Caenorhabditis elegans: one gene and its partners. The protein of the gene in region 2 purifies or fractionates together with the protein of the main gene of each other region. This does not show direct contact. Each region holds a gene or a part of one and is shown on either strand. Other genes may lie near its edges.

The links.
Region 1: the proteins of ced-4 (region 2) and sec-16A.1 fractionate together in Caenorhabditis elegans (co-fractionation; one large-scale study listed by BioGRID). This does not show direct contact.
Region 3: the proteins of ced-4 (region 2) and klf-1 fractionate together in Caenorhabditis elegans (co-fractionation; one large-scale study listed by BioGRID). This does not show direct contact.

The regions. Positions count from the first base shown.
Region 1 is NC_003281.10:9,124,041-9,131,307, reverse strand, and holds sec-16A.1 (Protein transport protein sec-16A.1), read right to left. Parts: upstream 5,470-7,267; coding exon 5,455-5,469; intron 5,082-5,454; coding exon 5,042-5,081; intron 4,988-5,041; coding exon 4,888-4,987; intron 4,829-4,887; coding exon 4,661-4,828; intron 4,616-4,660; coding exon 4,021-4,615; intron 3,975-4,020; coding exon 3,862-3,974; intron 3,817-3,861; coding exon 3,378-3,816; intron 3,329-3,377; coding exon 3,173-3,328; intron 3,128-3,172; coding exon 2,852-3,127; intron 2,806-2,851; coding exon 2,600-2,805; intron 2,553-2,599; coding exon 1,481-2,552; intron 1,426-1,480; coding exon 1,276-1,425; intron 1,224-1,275; coding exon 938-1,223; intron 889-937; coding exon 806-888; 3' UTR 501-805; downstream 1-500. Other genes in the region: ZK512.10 (DUF4752 family protein), read right to left, coding at 1-50, 103-215, 263-353, 400-414; Protein ced-11, read right to left, coding at 6,256-6,540, 6,589-7,155, 7,205-7,267. UniProt on the Caenorhabditis elegans protein: Plays a role in the organization of the endoplasmic reticulum exit sites (ERES), also known as transitional endoplasmic reticulum (tER).
Region 2 is NC_003281.10:4,850,476-4,855,468, forward strand, and holds ced-4 (Cell death protein 4), read left to right. Parts: upstream 1-1,849; coding exon 1,850-2,300; intron 2,301-2,351; coding exon 2,352-2,445; intron 2,446-2,490; coding exon 2,491-2,578; coding exon of another isoform or gene 2,579-2,580; intron 2,581-2,698; coding exon 2,699-2,833; intron 2,834-2,883; coding exon 2,884-3,221; intron 3,222-3,778; coding exon 3,779-4,054; intron 4,055-4,102; coding exon 4,103-4,208; intron 4,209-4,254; coding exon 4,255-4,482; downstream 4,483-4,993. Other genes in the region: F26A1.1 (Non-structural maintenance of chromosomes element 4), read left to right, coding at 63-65, 115-166, 213-281, 347-448, 502-1,010, 1,212-1,307; C35D10.8 (PH domain-containing protein), read left to right, coding at 4,861-4,865, 4,961-4,993. UniProt on the Caenorhabditis elegans protein: Component of the egl-1, ced-9, ced-4 and ced-3 apoptotic signaling cascade required for the initiation of programmed cell death in cells fated to die during embryonic and postembryonic development.
Region 3 is NC_003281.10:2,872,915-2,880,817, reverse strand, and holds klf-1 (Kruppel-like factor 1), read right to left. Parts: upstream 6,001-7,903; 5' UTR 5,926-6,000; coding exon 5,790-5,925; intron 5,229-5,789; coding exon 5,056-5,228; intron 4,143-5,055; coding exon 3,950-4,142; intron 3,157-3,949; coding exon 3,076-3,156; intron 2,491-3,075; coding exon 2,194-2,490; intron 1,524-2,193; coding exon 1,086-1,523; intron 904-1,085; exon of another isoform or gene 830-903; intron 724-829; coding exon 634-723; intron 487-633; exon of another isoform or gene 480-486; coding exon 394-479; 3' UTR 142-393; downstream 1-141. UniProt on the Caenorhabditis elegans protein: Transcription factor which modulates genes involved in lipid metabolism and the phase I detoxification pathway, including cytochrome P450 oxidases.

The DNA of each region.
Region 1 (7,267 bases), 4.3 Mb from region 2:
CAGTGAGCTACTTCAATCCCATCTCCCATTTCGAACGTAATTGGTGATCTCTGAAATTTTGGAAATATACACATTTATTCAATTAGTCTCAATAAAACTCACGACGCTACTCTTTCTATAGCTTCTAACACTATTTTTATCAGTACGAATACCGTAGTGATCAGCGACCGAAGGTGAATGTTTCGCTGCTCCATTCACTGCGATAGATGCTCCTTCTGAAAATCTTTTTTCTGGAAACTGCCTGAAAATAATTGTGACCTACTGGCTACGGTATCCCACCAAGTAGTCATTCTGAGCGAGTTGTAGAGAGAAAAACCGACGAGAAGAAGCTCGAAGAGCACTGAGTACCAAGACTTTAAATATTCGAACATCAATCAGAAATATTAAGAGAAAACTCACGTCCAGTTGATACATTTTCGAATTTGCGAAATAATGGTATTCGATTAGTTTTTTGTTTTGTTTTTAATTCGATTTCAAATGTAAAATTCAAATAGTGATTTCACGGTACATTATATTTATTCATTTCAGTATATATTTATTTACCAGAGAATCAATTCAGAGCACATATTTTCTCGTCAGAACAAAGAAAAACTAGCCTACTTATTTTTCAGATAAAACCGTAACATATATAGTTGCACAACAAAAAAGAAGGAAGATACTATGGAATAATCACAGAAGTTTTTAGAGGAAACGGGCCTGACCAGATAACAGGAAATGGTTATTTGAAAGAATGATAGTGGGTGGGAGGGGGATACAAAAGGCGATGGGGACGACAACACATATAATTTGGAAGAATTGAAGCATATTAATCGTTATTCTGTTTGGATAATGATTCGGAAGGAGCCGTTGGTTCACCGCTGAATGGATCAACATATTCGGAGGAATCATCTGAAAATGAAATTAATTGAAGAAAAAACTAATTCTCAATTAATTATACCTTCAGTGGGTGCAGGCATAAAGCTGAATGACATTGGCATGGTTGGAGGCATCATCGGTGGCATTCCAGTGTCCATAGCTGGTGCTTGGCTAGTGGCCATTCCCGATTGAAGATATCGTGATCCAACTCCACTTCTAGCACTTCGCAGACTATTCGTGCTCGATTTGTTAGAATCAGGACCTCCACCCATCAAATGAGGAGCTGACATGACTGGCGGTGGAGCAGCTACGACCTCTTCTTCTACTCCAGCACCAACATATCTTTTCTGAACAGGATCCCAAACGATCTGAACAAATGAATATTTGATATTCAAAAAATCGGCTTTCAAATTAACATACACTTGGCTTTGAATCGTCAGGCAGGATCATTTGGTTTGCTGATGGAATCGATTTGATGACTTTTTCCTTAATCGATCCGAACCATCCTTTAGATGCTTTTCGTTCATTCAATGCAAGTTCAGGTTGTTTCTGTGGGACAGGCGGCGCAGTCTTTAATAATTAAAAATAATTACTTGTCATTCTGAAGGTTTCACAGAAAACTCACAGTTTTAGCATTTGGAATAGATGCTTGTCCTAGTGTTGCTTGTTGAAGAACCGGAGCAGAAGAAACGGCTGGTGGTGGTGTTGGTACACTTGGAGCTGTTGGGTTTGCAAAGTTAGGTGCAGGCGAATAAGATGGTTGAATATTTCGCGGTGCAGGTGGATATGAAGTTTGATTGCTTGGCGGTGAAGTGTCCCATAAATCATCCAGTTCCGAACGAGGACTTTTTGCAATGCTGGCGTCAACAGGTTTCGGAATAGGAATAGGTTGAGGTGATACCATGATTGGAGTACTGACAGGTGGAATAGGCATCGATAACGTTGGCATCGGTGGCTTCACAATCGCTGGAGGCGTCATCTCAGGAACAACATTTTTAGAAATTGGTGGTGGTGTTGAGATTGGTTTTTCGATAGTTTTTGGAAGGGATGGTGGTGGTGGTAAAGTGGATGAGGTCAACGTTGAAGTTCTTGATGCTGACGCAGCGACAGTAACCGAAGAATCGGATTTATCTGTAAATGTCGATTCAGATGACGATTCAGTAACCAGGGTAGGTGGAGGCAAAGAAGCACGTCCGGGTGCAATTGGTTTCTCGACAGTTTTATCGTTATGTTGTTGATCGTTACGTGATCCAATCTCCAGCGGCGCTTGATGCTCATCATGCCATTTTTTAGCTTCAGACGAAATAGATTTGTTTTCCACTGGTTGTGGCTGTGGAACATGTTGTTGAGATTCTTGAACTGGAGCTGCACCTAGCATTCCTCTCATAGTTGTAATCCAACCACTTTCATCAGGAGTTGCGGCAGCCATGTATTGAAGACTCTCAGCCAGATCGCAAAGATCAAACATTGCATTTTTATCGAAAGCTGCGACATACATCCACAACGATCTTGCTACTTCTGTACAATATCTGAACGCATCCGTAGCAAATCCACCAAAAGACGACAGCTTCTTTGCGTATTCAATACGAGCTAACTGATAATCAATCGATTTTGCTAGTGGTGAATCGACATTGTTATTTCCCAGTCGGAGAGCATAATCAAAAATATCAGTAGCATGAAGATCAGTGAATGAGAATCTGAAAAGCATGTTTTATGTTATGCATATTGTGTTAAGTAATCTTACCCAGCGGTTCCTGATAGTCCATCAACTCGATTCAACAAGTTAGATCCACTATGCACAAGGCCGATGTGCTTTCTCGAAGTTTCATCTCCGTCGTGAGCCACTGGAATAAATGGATCATAACCAGCCAGAATGCATACAACAAGGAGACAGAAATCAGCAGCACAGTTTCGTTCTCTTTTTGCTAGGAGCAAGCCGAGATGATAGATCTGAAAAAAATTTTACAGTTTTAGTTTTGCTTTTCTCCTGCCGTACCGTTTGCATAGCGGTCTGCGAGTTTAGATTCGCAAGAACAATGGCCGCATGTCGTTTCCAATTGTTGTCATCATCGAACGCCGAATTCGTCAGAATCGGAGGTGGTTGATCACTTGAAACTGCAACCAGTGTTGCGAATGGATCGTCAATGGAACGAAGATTCATAAATCGTGCCTCGATTTCCTCAATTTTCTTAGCGTCATTTGGATGCAGTCTACGGATCAATGTCATTGCGTCGGCATAGAGTCCATCGGTTATAGCACTTTCAACAGCTTCCTGAAAAATTATAATTATTTAATTAACAAGATTAGACAAAATTACATTAATGTGACCACCAAGAAGATACTTATTGAACCGCTCCTTTGCTTCGAACTTCGAACCAGACTCGGATGTCCCATTGCTTGAAATTCCAGTTTTTTCACCAAGTTCTTCCGAGGCATTTGTCAGCAGTGTTGCTACATCGGGTCCGGTGACTCTCTTAAAATGTTAAATTCCTACTAAGTTCTCAAATTAAAACAATTCTTACTCCATGTTGCTGAACCATGATTTCGAGCAATTGCCAGACGAGAAGAGCATCCACCACCTCACTTTTCTTTACGTCACCAGCATTTCTGATCTGGCGAAGAGCGTCGATTTGTCGTTGGATGTAGAGACGAACGGAATGAGTTGGAGTTTGTCCAGCAATCAGTGGTCCTTTAAAGTTCTGAACTGATTCGATCACTTTTCCAGATTGTTCATCGAAATGAAGAAATGTTTTCAGATCATCCACATGAACGCTGGATGTACTTAGAACATGTCCAGTGATACTATCGATGGTTCCCGCTGGTTTAATGATCACCAATTTTCCTCCAACACCAATGGTAGCAAACTGAAGGCAGGAGTGATAATGAAGTGGTCCGTTGCTCAACACTTCTTCGGGTTGCGAGATGTTAAGTTTTGGCTCTTCGCGTTCCTCGATTTTATGCCTATAATAATATTTTTGCTCATTGTACCGTTGGTTCCATACTCACTGATTGAAATCCAGTTTCTCGCTCTCTGCAGCTTCTTGTCGTGCTTTTTCGTACGCCAATCTGTCGGCTTCCAGTTGCTTCAGGGAGAATTCTTCTTGCATCCGCTTGCAAACCTGTAATTTAAAATATGAAGCAATTCAATTTTGTCAGTAATCTTACCTTAAAAAGTGCCAGATCTTTAGAATCACCATACCCGCGGTAGGAGTAGAATTCACGATTAAAAATTACGTGAAACTCATCAATATTGTTGTAAGGTTTGTTATTAACGGCACAGTAGAATACATAAGCGACACGGTCGATTGGCGGCATCTTATAGTATTTTTCCGGAGGAGGCATCGTTCGGAACACATGATCAACAATAGCAGAGCCAAGTTTCACAACTCCGTAGTAATAGCTTTCACTTTCGCTATTATAAACTTCAGAGGCAAGGGTATTTGTTACACTCCTGGAGCCTTGTGCTCGTCCTTCCATATAAAAATTTCGTACTTCTTCCTCTTCTTCGTCTTCTTCCAGCTCTTCTGAAGTCTTATCAGACTCTCCACTATCATATACAAAACCATTTCTCATTGAAGATGCGTTCGCATATCTTTCAGCAGCAGTTGATCGTGGTCTCACAGGCTCACGGTGGTTGTTCGGCAGCAATCCCACACCAGCACGACTATTCGCGTAATCACTCGCATATCCAGATGCATTTCGAGCTGAAGGAGCACCAGAGAAACCTTCGCTTGGGCCACGTGAAGAGTTTTGGTGATATCTGCAAATTTCCATAATTAGAAGAAGAAACTCCCTTGTTTTAAACCTTGAATAAGTACGGTCATATCCATTGAAAGTTGAGTTGAGGCCTCTTGAACCATTACTCATTCCAGTACCCTGCCGGTTACTCTTTTGAGATACTGGGCGAGCTGGTTGAATAAGAATGGGTCTTCTTGGTTGTGGAATATCGTTGTCCAGCCGACTGCGTCGAGGCCTGAAAAAAAAGCGATGAAAAGATATCGATCGGCGTGTGAAATTCTTGTATTCACTGACCTTGAATGGTTAACGGATGAAGCGTCATCATCGCCTCCTCTAGAAGACGGAGGTGAAGCATTGTAAGGATTATTCCAGTCACTCATATCGAAACCAGAAGCTGAAAATGAATAGTGATTGATAAAAATTGTTGATAAATCGAATTTTATCATACCTCCGGCATTCATTCGTTGTTCATACTTCATAGAATCGATCTGTAATAAATTAGGCGAATATACAAGTTAAGTGTCGAGATGTTAAAGTCTGTTGGGTAAATATAGAGAGGCAGAAGACAAGGGAAGAAAAGAAAAGAAGGGGCAAATTGAGGTCAACCGTGTCACTTTAGTGCCAACACGGCGACGCAAAAATGCACGGAAAGGGCTGCTGTGGGGAATATGGGAAAATGGGAAAATTGAAAACAAGAATAGTTCAGTTTTCCTTTGTTGGAAGTGATACGAACAGGTGAAAGTGAATGGGAAAATGATATGAATTTTGTTTTTTATTCTTCCAAATGGTAAAATAAATTCGGTTTTTACTTGTTTTCTTAATGGCCTTAAGATTTAAAATTACAATTTTGGGAAATCTTACCCTGTATCGCCGCATTTTCCATTCGAAATCCATAAAAATCGTGGGTTTTTGGGAATTTCCAATTTAAAGTTCAATTCAAAACGCCGCACGGATGTGTTAAAAGCGCGGTGCCACGTGAAGCCAAGCTTAAAAATAAAATAAGACAAAAAGTTCACGCGAGAAATGAATAAACGCGAAAAAAGTTCGAGGTTGAATGAAAAAAATAACTGATAGAAAAACTGTCGTCAGTTTCGGTGCTTGCGGAGTGAACATTGTGTACCGTAGCCACAAAATCGTAAAATCGAAAGCAAGGATTTATTTATTTGTTAACAGAAACAAAGTTGTTTAATAAATACGAAGATTTGTTTTTTCACGAAAAGAACTTATTTTGCTAAGGTATCTTTTATCTCCGTGTCACACCTAAACGGACCAAAAATAACGGGAAAAACAAGGAAGATGACGATAATTAATTAATGAATATACATAATAATTGTGTTAAATTAAAGGAAATAATATTAAGTAATAAAGTGGCGACAAGGAGAAGTATTCTTGGTTCTCCGCATTCGCGACAGTTCTTACAGTTTTACTGCACAACACTCCGCAAACCTAACCAACAATCGCTCTACAATATTTAGAAAAATTTGTTTCAAAACTGCTACAGTACCCCTACATTTTTTGTTAGGCCTCTCATTATATGTGTTTTGGTGAGTGCTTTATTTTTATTCTTCCAAGCTTTATTAAATTATCTCTTAGCTATCAGCTTTAAAAAACAAACATCGAATAACAATTTAAGTGAATTCATAATTTATGAAAGTTGTAGCATTATAACCCGTATATTGTCTTTGCTCGGAAAACAAGATCTGCTTGCCATGGAAGCACTGTTCCACGAATTGCACTCGTAGGAAGCCACGAATAACCGATAATTGTGGTTATTATACGTCGTTCTCGGAGAGAAATAGCCCAAACATCATGCTCCGTCCACGCGTTGTCTGTATCGTTTTCATTTTCTGCAACTTCTGAAGCCAAATGAGCAGGACTCGTGTCATTGGATGGTATTCTTTTGTCCGCAGTGATAATTGAGCTATCCAAACGTCGCATTGAAAACATCTGAAAATACATCACAAATTTTTAAAAGTAATCTTTTTGGTTACTTACATGAGCGTCAGAATCTGAAATTCCAATCATCTTCAAAATAGATGTCAGATGTTCATCTTTCGACGAGTTCTCCAGATGCCATTCATTTGGAATATTCTTCTGACTATCAACTAGAACTTGACATTTCGCTTCAACTCCACCACTCAAAACGACATAATAACAACGTCGATTAGCACCAAATCTCGGATGATTTCCTCTTCCAGCCATTCCAGTTCGACCATTCGGATTCAATGGGAAGCCGGCAGCTGAGAGCTTCCAACATTTATCATTACTACTAGTAACATCATTTGCCTGACGGCTTCTCCAAATTCGTTTTAGTTCTCCAACATTTTGCTCCGTGGCAATATCAACATACTTTTGCACATCTGATGGAAAATCTTCCGCAGGCTTACAATAGAAGGGGGGATTGTATCTAGGTACAAGCACTGTCCATGGCTTAGACACCATGTTCACACTAATCTTCAGAATGTTACTTTCTGGGTATTTCTCGAAAAATTGAAGTTCTGAAGCTTTTCGTGTACCCGAATTTTCATATGAATCTCGCAAAGTCATCATTCGAATGTGGTTCTGAAATTATTTTCAGTTTTAAACTTGTGTTTAAAAAAATAAATCTTACATGAATATTATGAAGTTCCTGAAGTTCTGATTTGTTTGCTGATATCTTCGCTTTCTGCTGTGT
Region 2 (4,993 bases):
AAAACATTAAAGTTCCGATAAACATTTACAGCTGTCACTCAATTAACCTATAACAATCCTGGATGGTGAGAGACTAGTATTTTAAAACATTTTTAATTGAATATATTATTCCAGGACGTTGGAATTGCGAGTACATCTAACACAAACGATGTGGAGTTTGACGATGGTATATATTATTGATTAACATTCACATGATAATGGTTTTCTTTCAGATTTCATCCGACATGCTCGTCACATGCCGATCAATAAATTAATTGAAGAGCTGGCAATGTTGGAACACGGTAAACCAGCTGTCAAGATTATCTTTTATTGATTTTATTTTAATTATTAAATTTAAATGTTTCAGACAATCATCCACTTTTACATACTGCTCGCCGGAACTTCGATAAAGATAGAAAAGTCCAGAAGGATCGAATTGAGTGCCATCGCGCGAGAGCCGAACTAAAAGGTATCTTTTGAATTGTTGAAAACTTTGAAAAGCTCAAAATACAAATTCTTTAGCAAAAAATGATTTCAATACAAGAAGTGCCGCAGATCAAGCAGAATGCACATTGCGGTTAACGGAATTGCTAGACGAATTCACGAAAAGGAGTGATGAAATGGACAAAACAGTTTTGCATGAATACGGAGTCATCGATATTCATAAACAACAGTCAGCTCCGCCTGTGTTCGAGTCCAACAAGAAAACTCTGCGAGGACGTGGAGGAGGACAGCTTGTTGAGCCAGTCACTTACTTCAATTCAAATCAGAATACTCGAATACCTGAATTCAAGCTGAATTTGTCTTTCGAAAATCCGAGAATTCGACAAGAGTTGGATATTATTATGAATCGGCCGAATTCGCGTCGAATCATTGTCTGTTCGGTATCGATTCAGAAACCGAAACTTGTGATCGATAACAAGTCATTCAAACACGGCGAAGATGTCTATGCGTATAACAGAATATTTGGAGAAATGCTCGCAAAACTCGAAATTGTCACCGATAAAATGATTAACTTGAAAGGGGCTAATGTAAGTTATCTGATGTTTCTACAATTAAAAAAATTGTTTTTTTTTCCAAATTAATTTTCGAAGATTAACGAAAAACGATTAAAAATCAATAAAACGCAATAAAGAGGGCTTGGCTTTCTTTTTAATTTAAATTATAATTTTTCTGATTGTTGTATGAAGCTACAAAATGTACTGTTTTTGTATTTGAATATTGTATTACAGGGTTGGGATTCTCGGCAAATATCAGCGACAGTGGAAGATTTAGAAGAAGGACGTGTGACAATCACTAAGCAAAGAGGAAAGGATAAAGGATTGTGATATTTCACTGTTTTACTCATTCGCTTTTTAAATAAGAACTATATGCCGATTTGCCGATATATTTTTGTTTATTAGGCCTCTCACATTCCTGTACAATGTTTCTACCAAATAAACTGCATTTTTATCTGAAAATTCGAATTTATTTTTGTCTACTTTTTACTCGTTGCATTCGAGATCAGCATATCTTCCGGTCTATTTATATTCAACGATTTTTATAAATTAGTACTCCTTCATGTTTAATTTCATTTTATCTGTAAGCTTTACTGTATTTTTTTAAAATCTTTCTTGCTTCTATCTGATTATACAATGTTCTTTACTCATTTTCAAGGTATTTTTATGCCTCACAATTTATGCACATTTCGGGCTTGGAGATTTATCCTCTATATTACATGCCTGTTTTTTTAAAGTGTATATAATGTTTAACAAATAATTTTTTATCAATGCTATTGTATATTCTCCAGCTAACCGTTGTTTCGAAAACATCACCTAGCATTTTAAAATTCACAAAATCTTGCTTCCTTATAATCAAGAAGATTTTTCAGATGCTCTGCGAAATCGAATGCCGCGCTTTGAGCACGGCACACACGAGGCTCATCCACGACTTTGAACCACGTGACGCATTGACTTATTTAGAAGGCAAAAACATTTTCACAGAAGATCATTCTGAACTTATCAGTAAAATGTCAACTCGCCTCGAGAGGATCGCCAATTTTCTTCGAATCTATCGACGTCAAGCTTCTGAACTTGGACCACTCATCGACTTTTTCAACTACAACAATCAAAGTCACCTTGCTGATTTCCTCGAAGACTACATCGATTTTGCGATAAATGAGCCAGATCTACTTCGTCCAGTAGTGATTGCTCCACAATTTTCCCGACAAATGCTCGATAGGAAACTATTGCTTGGGAATGTTCCAAAACAAATGACATGCTATATTCGAGAGTATCACGTGGATCGAGTGATCAAAAAGCTCGACGAGATGTGTGATTTAGGTGAGAAAACTGGAAGCTCTCGTGTTTATTATAATCTTGCTTAAACTTCAGACTCCTTTTTTCTGTTTCTACACGGCCGAGCTGGATCCGGAAAATCAGTAATTGCATCACAAGCTCTTTCGAAATCTGACCAACTTATTGGAATGTGAGTGGTATTATCTGAATCCTACGGATCTTCATTCTATTACAGAAATTATGATTCAATCGTTTGGCTCAAAGATAGTGGAACAGCTCCAAAATCTACATTCGATTTATTTACGGATATTTTGCTGATGCTAAAGTGAGTGAATAGAGTGCATGTAACATTCAGCATGATTTTGAAATTATGAAAATTTGACCTGGTTAGCTTTTAATTTGATATTTCGTGACGCTTGCATGTTTTGTGTGTTTGAAGACGAGCCCGTGTTGTGAGCGACACGGATGACTCGCATTCGATCACCGACTTCATTAACCGTGTTCTTTCAAGAAGCGAAGACGATCTTCTCAATTTCCCATCGGTGGAGCATGTCACGTCAGTTGTACTCAAAAGGATGGTAAGTTGCTTGCCGATTCTGGTACAATATCTTAAATTATTGGTTTTTAGATCTGCAACGCACTCATTGATCGTCCAAATACTTTATTCGTATTTGATGACGTAGTTCAAGAAGAAACAATTCGTTGGGCTCAGGAGCTACGTCTTCGATGTCTTGTAACTACTCGTGACGTGGAAATATCAAATGCTGCTTCTCAAACATGCGAATTCATTGAAGTGACATCATTGGAAATCGATGAATGTTATGATTTTCTAGAAGCTTATGGAATGCCGATGCCTGTTGGAGAAAAAGAAGAAGATGTGCTTAATAAAACAATCGAACTAAGCAGTGGAAATCCAGCAACGCTTATGATGTTTTTCAAGTCTTGTGAACCGAAAACATTTGAAAAGTGAGTGGGACATACCAATTTGAGACTTTTAAAATAATTTATTCTACAATAAAAGTTAATCAAAAAGTTTCATAGCTGATTGTCTTTAAATTTTACGAATTGAGGATCAAAATCAAGAATTAGGATCCTGGCACGAGAGAAAACTGTGTAGCTACCGTACCCGAGAGATTTTCTTGATATTTGCCATCGATTTAATTTTTTAAGAAAATTATCGTTTTACATAATTGAACAAGAGATACACGGTCTCGACCCGACGGAAATTTTTTAAATGAAAGCGAGTATGAGCCTGTTTTCATTATTTTTCGATTTTCTCTTGTTGTTTCTTTTTATTTAAAGCCTTTTATTTTGAAACAAGTCTAAAAATATTAAAAACTGAATAAAATATTTAAAAAAAATCAAGTAAAATAGAAAAACAGCAAGGCTGGAGACTACTGTACTTCTTAAATCCGCATACTCTTTTTATTTAATCATTTTCCGGAATGTCGAAACGAAATAATACATTTTTAGTCCAAAATCGCTAGGTATATTCTTAAAATTATCAAACATTTTGCATTCAGAATGGCACAGCTTAATAACAAATTGGAAAGTCGAGGATTAGTCGGTGTTGAATGTATCACCCCTTACTCGTACAAGTCACTCGCAATGGCTCTTCAAAGATGTGTTGAAGTTTTGTCAGATGAGGATCGAAGTGCTCTTGCTTTCGCAGTTGTGATGCCTCCTGGAGTTGATATACCCGTCAAGCTATGGTCATGTGTTATTCCAGTTGATATTTGTTCAAATGAAGAAGAACAATTGGATGATGAAGTTGCGGATCGGTTGAAAAGACTCAGCAAGTATGAGTCTTGAAATTTGAAGATTTAAATTAACACTTAAAATTTCAGACGTGGAGCTCTTCTCAGTGGAAAACGAATGCCCGTTTTGACATTCAAAATTGATCATATTATCCATATGTTCTTGAAACACGTCGTTGATGCACAAACTATCGCCGTATGCTGAAAATGTCTCAACTTTCAATTAAATTTTAAATTTTCAGAATGGAATCTCAATTCTCGAGCAGCGTCTTCTTGAAATAGGAAACAATAATGTATCAGTACCGGAGCGACATATACCATCACATTTCCAAAAATTCCGTCGTTCATCAGCCAGTGAGATGTATCCAAAAACTACAGAAGAAACTGTGATCCGTCCTGAAGACTTCCCAAAGTTCATGCAATTGCACCAGAAATTCTATGACTCCCTCAAAAATTTTGCATGCTGTTAAAACCTATCGTGTACAATATTGCCTGTATATTCCCCTCGAAATACGTTTATACTTTTTCGCACGAGTTTTCTCATTTTTTCATTTGTACTTGTTTTATTTCTCTCCAAAATTTCAGATCTATCCCAAATGTTCTTAAATTTAATGTTTTCTACAGATACTCAACACATCTTGTTTCATCTCATCCTTGCTTTTTTTTTTCAAATATATTCAGTTTCTTTTATAATTTTAATTAATCGAATTAATACATTCACGTAAAGAATTTCGTGGACTATTATTTTATCGCATCCAAATGATTTATTCCCTATTGTTCGAAACTTCCAAATTGATCATTTTTAAACACGCCTCATTAAATTGAAAGTCGTACTTTTAGTCTCGAACATGAAGTAAGTTATTTTCTGTGTTCTAAATTCAAAGTGCATTCCAAAAGGACATTTGATGAGTTTTCACGAAAACCGTAATTTTTACAATTTCCTTTCAGTTTTGAAGATGTTCGATTTCTTTCCTCTGTTGG
Region 3 (7,903 bases), 2.0 Mb from region 2:
TGAATAATTTTGAAAGGCTCAAAACCTTTCCAATTTGGTTTTTTTTCAAATTACTAATCTCTGAAAAATCAAAAAAAAAAACACAGAAAAAAAAATCGATATGTATTTATTGATTTCCACGTGGGGGGGGGGGGGGAAAGTGAAATGTGACAAAAATTAATATGACCGTATTTAGTGATGATACCAAGCATTTTTTGAGCAAGAAAACATTCAAAAAACTGTAAAAATGACGTCACGATGTTGAGACGTGACTGGCGGGAAGTTTGAAAATTTTTGAAAAAAAAAACTTTTTTCAAAAATTTTCCAAAAAAAATGTAATGACCGGATAAAAAGTTGAGAAATACATTTTGGGAACCCGTAATTAGTTAATCTGTTGCACCATGTTTTTTTTGATTAGAAGTGGCGTTTCATATGGAGTGAGAGATGATCACTTCGGGAGAAGGCACGTGAACATTGAGAGCACTTGAATGGGCGGTCTCCTGAAAAAAACAATTATTTTTGTTTTTCTTAGCATTGCAGTGCATAATTTAAATAGAGCTCGACGAGAGCTTTCATTTAAGTATAATCATGACTAGGTTTGGGAAAATTTGAAAATTTTTAGGTGTATGCGCCTTTAATTCACTCAAAAATTACCTGTATGTTTCCTATAGTGCCTTGTTAGCTCGTCAGATCTAGCAAATCGCCAATCACACCCGTCCCAACTGCATTCGTATGGTTTTTCACCTGAAAAATGATTTTTTTCATCAAAAAATTTCTAAAAACAACTTTAAAGAGAAGTTATCAAGATTTAAAACTGAAATTTTCAAACTTTTCATCCAGAAAAACCTATATCCTTCGACAAAGAATCGAACCTGTGACCTTCTGGGTCATAGTCTGACATCTTACCGACTGCGCCACGCGCGCACTGCGTGCCGCGCCAGTTGCTGGGCGCGACGGCGCTGGTGGCGCAATAGGTAAGAGAGATGACTGAGACCCAGAAGGTCCCAAGTTCGATTCTTTCTGCATGTTTTTGGTTTTTTCTGGGTGTAATGATTGCTTTTTCAATCTAGAAAATATTTTGTTCAGTACAATTAACAAAGTATTACCTGTATGAGTTCTAAAATGAGCCTTCAAATGTGAGCTTTTCGTGTAGACTTTCCCGCAATTCGGATGTGTGCAATGGTGAAGCCTCTTGACAGATGGTTCAGAAGCATCATATGATGAGCTCGGGCTCGGCTCGCAATTTGAATCCTCGAGGGAAGAGTCCACGTGGAGTCTTTGCGAGGCTTCTGCCATGTGGGTTTGATGCTCTTCCATTTGTTTTTTGATAGCATCCAACTGAGTTTTGATGGCCATCGGATCGACTTGACCATTTGCGTCTGGCATTACAGCTAGACACGCTGAAGCCGTCAGTTCGTCTATTTTTCGCTTAAACTCCAAGGGGTCAAAGTTTTGGTAGACGAAGGAGTTCACAGAGCTGGATACTGAGCTGGGAAGGTCTGATGTTGATGACACACTTTCTACGTTCACTGTGAGAGGTTCGTCTAAAAATTAAAAAACATTTGAAGTTTTGATTTTTCAAAAAAATATTTTGAAAAAAAATATTTTGGAGAAAATTTTTTTCAGCACAAAATTGGTATTATAATTATCTTGTTTTCAAGTTTTGGATATTTTATTGTAGTCAGCTTGTTAAGACCTTTCAAGTGACCCCCATCATGCTAGGTTCTCCCCATGTTGGGTCCCACCACGAAAATTCCCCAGGAGTACTGTAGTTTTCGTGGTGGGACCCAAAATGGGCAGAGCCTAGACATCATGGGGGTCATTCGAAAGCTCTTGATGTGATGAACGCGAAAAAAGGTTATTTTTCGAAAAATTATTTTTGAACTAAAAAAATATTTTTTACCTTAATTTTGTTTTTATCGCTCTCAACTCATCAAGAGCTTCAAAATAACACCCATCATGCCTAGGTTCGGCATATTTTTAAATTTTTAACCCTATGCGCCTTTAAATTCTGGTTCTCGCGGTGAGACCCAAAGTGGGCGGGGCCAAGGCAAGATCGGTGTCATTTGAAGGATCTTGACGAGCCGAGAATAGTTAAATTGTGAAGTTTGACGACTTTTTTTAATTTTGAAGAAAAAATTTTGAAAAAAAATTTTGTGGAAAATTTTTTTTCCAGAATTAAAAAAAAAATTTTCCGCAATTTCAAAACCTTACCTCTTAAATCAAAATTCATTGCGGATCTTTTGACACACGGACTTGTCGGACTATCCATGTCAGCATCCTCCACAACAATACTCTCATGATCCTGATGGCCTGAATCTCCGGAGCTCGAGGAAGCGATATCGAAATTTGAAGTCGAATGAATCAGCCGAATTGGGACATTTCTAGCCATATTCAGGTTAAGATTTCGAGATTGTGGAAGCGGGTCTCGATTCAGAATGTCGGAAATCAAATGGCCCCCGGGGCGCCGGGTATCCAGATTTTCTCGAAGCAGGACTGGAGCGAACGCACCTGAAAATGATTTTTACTTTGAAAATTTGAATCAAGCTAGCCAAGAGCTTTCATTTAAGTATAATCATGACTAGGTTCTGACGATTTTGAACTTTTCAATAAATTTCCGGGTCCCACCACAAAAACTACAGTATCTCTCATTTCTTGTCATACAATACACTTTAAACTAAAAATATGAATTCAGCACACTGAGAGCTTCAAAATAACACCCATCTTGGCTAGGTTAGGTTAAGTTTGAAATTTTCAAACCCTATGCGCCTTTAAATTTAGATTTTCGTGCCGGGACCCAACAAGTTGAAAATTGAAGATCAATATAAAGTTTTAGGCATCGTGAATGCTAATAAAATTTTAAATGAACAGATGAAATATTTGTCAGTGACCTCTAAGCCTGCACTTCCGGGTCCCGCCACGAAAATCAAAATTTAAAGGCACATAGGTGCTTTAAAATTTAAACTCACTGGAACCTAGTCATGATGGGTGTTATTCAAAAGCTCTTTGCACGACAAATTCAATTTTTTCTATAATTTTCAAAAAAAAATTAGTTAGAAAGTTTAAAAAATTGAAAATTGAAAAAAAATCACAAACTTTTCTTGACTTGCATGCCCTGAAAAGCTGCTCCGAGAGCTGTCGTCGGTGTGTTGAATCCGGAAAATGACGACATTGACTCTGAAAAATATATGACAATTTTTACAAATTCGGAGGGTGTTTTGCAGGGGTGTCCCTGATAAGAAATTTTCTTTAGGCGTTTTCTTTTTTTTAGGTGATAAATTTAGTTGAGTTTTTAATTTTTGCAGAAGAATATGATTTCTTCTGCACATTTTGAAATGGGAATGGTTCCGATATCTTGAAAACTGGCAGAGTTATCGATTTTCGAAAAATTTCGAAAAATTTAAAATCGAAAACCTTTAAATTTTAACGCAGAGATTGAACTTAAAACTTCAAAACAATTAAATTCGAACTCAGCACGTTGAGAGCTTTCAAATGACACCCATCATGCCTAGGCTGCGTCAATTTTAGGTCCAACCACGAAAACTACAGTACTCCCGGGGAATTTTCGTGGTGGGACCCAAAATTTTCCAAACCTAGTCATGATTATATATATTTTTCTGAAAGCACGTAAAATTTACAATTCGAATAGTTTGAAAACTTGTGAGAAATACTGATAGTTTTCGTGGTGGCACCCAAAATTGTGGGCAAATTTTCGACAATTTTCGAAAATCGATAACTCAGCGAAAAATTGAGATTTACATAAGATTTTTTGTTTGACAAACACAACAGAAATTGTTCTTTCAGACAAAAATACTTTTCGCAGCCTGGAAACTGTACCTACAGTACCCCAGATCTTTTTCGTGGCAAGACCCAAGAAATTTTCAAAATTTTCAAACCTTGGCATGATTATACTTAAATTAAAGCTCTCAAAACGCTGAATTCAGATTTTTCAATCAAAAATAAAACCCACTCTGATGCTCTGCAATAAAATCACTTTTGATCTGTTCCAGACGGTCATTAAATGAAGTTGTCGGTTGGAAAAGGCTCTGAGTTGAGTCAAAATGTGAATTTTTATATGGTGCAAATGCAGAAAAGTCCGATTGTCTTTCGAAAACCGATGAAGAACTTGAACTTGTTGCTGCTCCGCTATCATTTCCAAATGTCTGCAAAAAAAACACATTTTTAAAGGATTTTTCAATTTTTCCATATTTAAATCTGATTTTTATGCTTAGGCTTGAGCTCAGGCTTAGGCTTAGGCTTTGGAGTCAACTTCGGCTTAGGCTTAGGCTTCGGCTTAGGCTTAGGCTTCGGTTTAGACTTAGGCTGAGACTTAAGCTCCTGCTTAAGCTTACACTTAGGCTTTGGCTTATGCATACGCTTTAGCCTAGGATTAGGCTTAACCTCAGCCTTAGGCTTAGGCTTAGGCTTAGGCTTATGTTTATCTATTTCTTGGTCTTTTTTCGAAATTTTGCGGTTAATAAAAGTTTTTTTTGTGAAATCTGTTCCATTCTAATATCGATTAATTAGTCTTTCGTAGGAAGATGAACAATCCGGTCTAGATTTTCTCTATTTTCTCAGCGCTCTCTCAATCTTATCAATCACTCTCTCTCTCTCTCTCACTTTATGTATGTGTTTCGGTAGATAGAAAGAGAGGCGCCAACGCCCAATGTTCTCCCTACTCTCTTTCTCTGCGTACTCTCTCACTCTCTCACTCTCATTTTTCTTTTTCTTGCGAAACAAGACGGTCGCCGCCGCCGACATCAAGAAAAGACGGTAACCACACCCAAAAAGGCGGGAAAATTGAGAGTGACAAAGAGACTGAGAGATAAGAGGGTTAAAGGACATGTGACTACTGTAGCTTTGAAATTTTGGTGGTTTTTCGTTGTGGGACCTTGAAAATATGAAAATCAAATTCAGCTGGGTGAGAGCTTTCATTTAAGTATAATCATGACTAGGTTTTGAGAGGGAGTCTTAAAAAAATTTAATTTCCGGGTCCCGCCACGAAAATCAAAGTTTAAAGGTGCATAGGCCTAACATAATATAACCAAGATAGCTGTATCTCAAAAAAAAACGAACATTTTCTAGCTTCCTCCTCAACGCGTTGGCCTTCAGCCTTTCGTAGGCACTTGTGCTCTCGGAAAGTTCCCGAATTGATTCGTAAAATTGATGTCCGAATTGATTAAAGCTTCTTGTTGCTTCATGTATCCGCTGTTCAGCATCGTCGTTTTCAGATGAAATTGAGGAGAGGCCTGAAAATTTGAAGATTTTTGGTTATATTTTTGCAAAAAAATTCAACGTTTTCTGCACATTTTGAAATTGGAATAGTTCAAATATCTTAAAAACTCGCAGAGTTATCGATTTTCGAAAAATTTCGAAAAATTTCAAAAAATCAAAACTTTTAAGGCACAGCTTGAACTTGAAACTTCAAAACTGTTAAATTTGAACTTAGCACACTGAGAACTTTCAAATGACACCCATCATGCCTAGGCTCCGTCAATTTTAGGTCCCACCACGAAAACTACAGTACTCCCGGGGAAATTTCGAAATTTTCGAAACATAGCCATGATTATACTTTTCTGAAAGCTCGTGAAATTTTAAATCTGATTATTTTTAAATTTCGGGCTAGAAAGTCATAGTTTTCGTGGTGGGACACATTTTTATTGAAAATTTTTTGTAATTTTTCGAAATTCGATAACTCAGCGAAAAATTAAGATTTTCACTTAATTTTTTCTATGGCAAACACAACAAAATTTATTCTATCAGGAAAACATATTTTCAGTGATGGTATTAAATAAAAAAACATCTCTCACCTGGTTGAAAAAAAGACGGTGACAAATGTACTGATCTATCCGCCCGCGCCAATGGATCAATTGATAATGATGGTTTATTAGGAATGTGTATTAATGGTTCCCGTGATGACGTGGCATTTATCGATGATGACGTCATCGTGGATGACGTGGAATTGAATTGTAGTGTACTTGATGAGGAGCTGAGTGACCCGGAGCCTTCCGGCCCAAACATCTGCAAAAATCGATATTTTTATAGATTTTTTAGAGGGGAAATGGGTAAATTGTGAAAAAGTACATAAGAAAATCTAAATTTGAGAAAATTTTGAAATAATTATTTTTTGAAAAAATTTGAAAAAAAAAATTTTGAAAAAAATTTCAATTTTTTGCTTTTCGATCTTTTGCTCATTTTTGAAGATTTCGATTTTAAGTTTGGTTTTCAATCTATGAAAAAAATTTTTTAAAGTGATTTTTCCCTAAAAACCCCAACAAAAATTTCCAAAAAAGGCGTAGTCTTTTACATTTTCGAGGGTAATGCATCGCCTCCTCAACACACAGCCGAAACAAAAAAAAAAGATAAAAACCGAAACAAAAAACTTGATAAAGGAATAAGAAAATGAAGAAATAGACAGAAACGCAGAGATACACAGAATCGGCCGAAAAAAAAATGGTAGGGAAAATGAATTGTCAGCTGAGAACGGGAACAGGAGAACGTGTCATGTGACATTTATGATTTTTGATTAGAAAATCAGAGGAATTTCTTGAAAAATCTCTAAAAATCAATAAAAATCTATCATTTTTCGTTTTTGCAAAATTGGAAAAAAACAATTTCGAGTTTTTGGCCTAGTGGCTAACAGAGTTGGCTGGGACTCACAAGGCCGGGGCTCGAATCCCCGATGGGGTCAAAATTTTTGTCGAGTTTTGTTTGCATTGTTTATGCTTTGAAAATTGACATGGTAGACGCTTTGACTTTGAAAATGAAAATTCACAAAAAAAAATCGAGATTTTAGTTCATTTCCCGAAAAATATCGATTTTCAGAAATATTTACATAAAAATTCGGGTTTTCCACGAAATTTCCGTCAATTTGAGACCCATATCGATTTTTTCAAAAAAATTAAATTTTTGGCCTTGTGGTTAACACGGATGGGTGGGACTCACAACACCGGGGTTCGAACCCCCGCTGGGGTCAAAACTTTTTTCCAATTTTTTTTTGGTATGTCAGAGATTTTTATTAACAACATTTAGTTCAAACCGTAGCGGACTGAAATTTGGTTTTTTTTTAATTTTTTACTTTGAAATTTTCAAAATTAAAAAAAAACAATTTTCAGCAAAAACGAATCGATTTTACAGAGTGAGAATAGAAAGTGAAAATAGTTGAAAAAACTAGAAGTATTAATGAGACAGAACTAACTACACGTCGATTGTAAATGTGATGTGACAGTTAGTTTGAGACGCACAGAAGAAACAAGAAAAAGATGAAAAAAGAAGAGAGAGAAATGAAAAAGGAACTGAACTATATAAGAACAATCTTCCAAATTAATCGATAGTTACACTAAATTTCGGCGGGATTTGTTAAAATAAAATTTGTGAAAATAAAAACTAGTGATTTTCCGGAATTTTCATATAAAAATTCGAGTTCCCAATAAAATTTCCGTTAATTTGACAACCATATCAGCTATTTTTGAATCATTTTGAAAAACATTTGAAACATTGAATTTTTGGCTTAGTGGATAACACTGGTGATTGGTAATCTCAACACCGGGGTTCGACCCCCACTGTGGTCGACGTTTTTTTTTTCGGTTTTTTACACATTGTTTACAGACTAAAAATGTGTCGAAACTTGAAAATTTAAAAAATAATAGTTGAACTTTTGGCCTGGTGGATAACAGAGATGACTACCACCCACAACACCTGGGTTCGAGTCCCCACTGTGGTAACTTTTTTTCTTATGTTTGATATCTCATCTACACTGGCCTCAGCGTGTTTAAAATGCCTTCTTTATGTAAAAAAGGCGGAAAATGGGTAAAAATTGATGAACCGCATCGAAATGAGTCTTTATCTCGGTGACAGCGACGGGAAATTTAGTTCTAGTGTTCCGCAAAATCGAGAAACTCAAATTAAAATGTTTTTAAGGTCA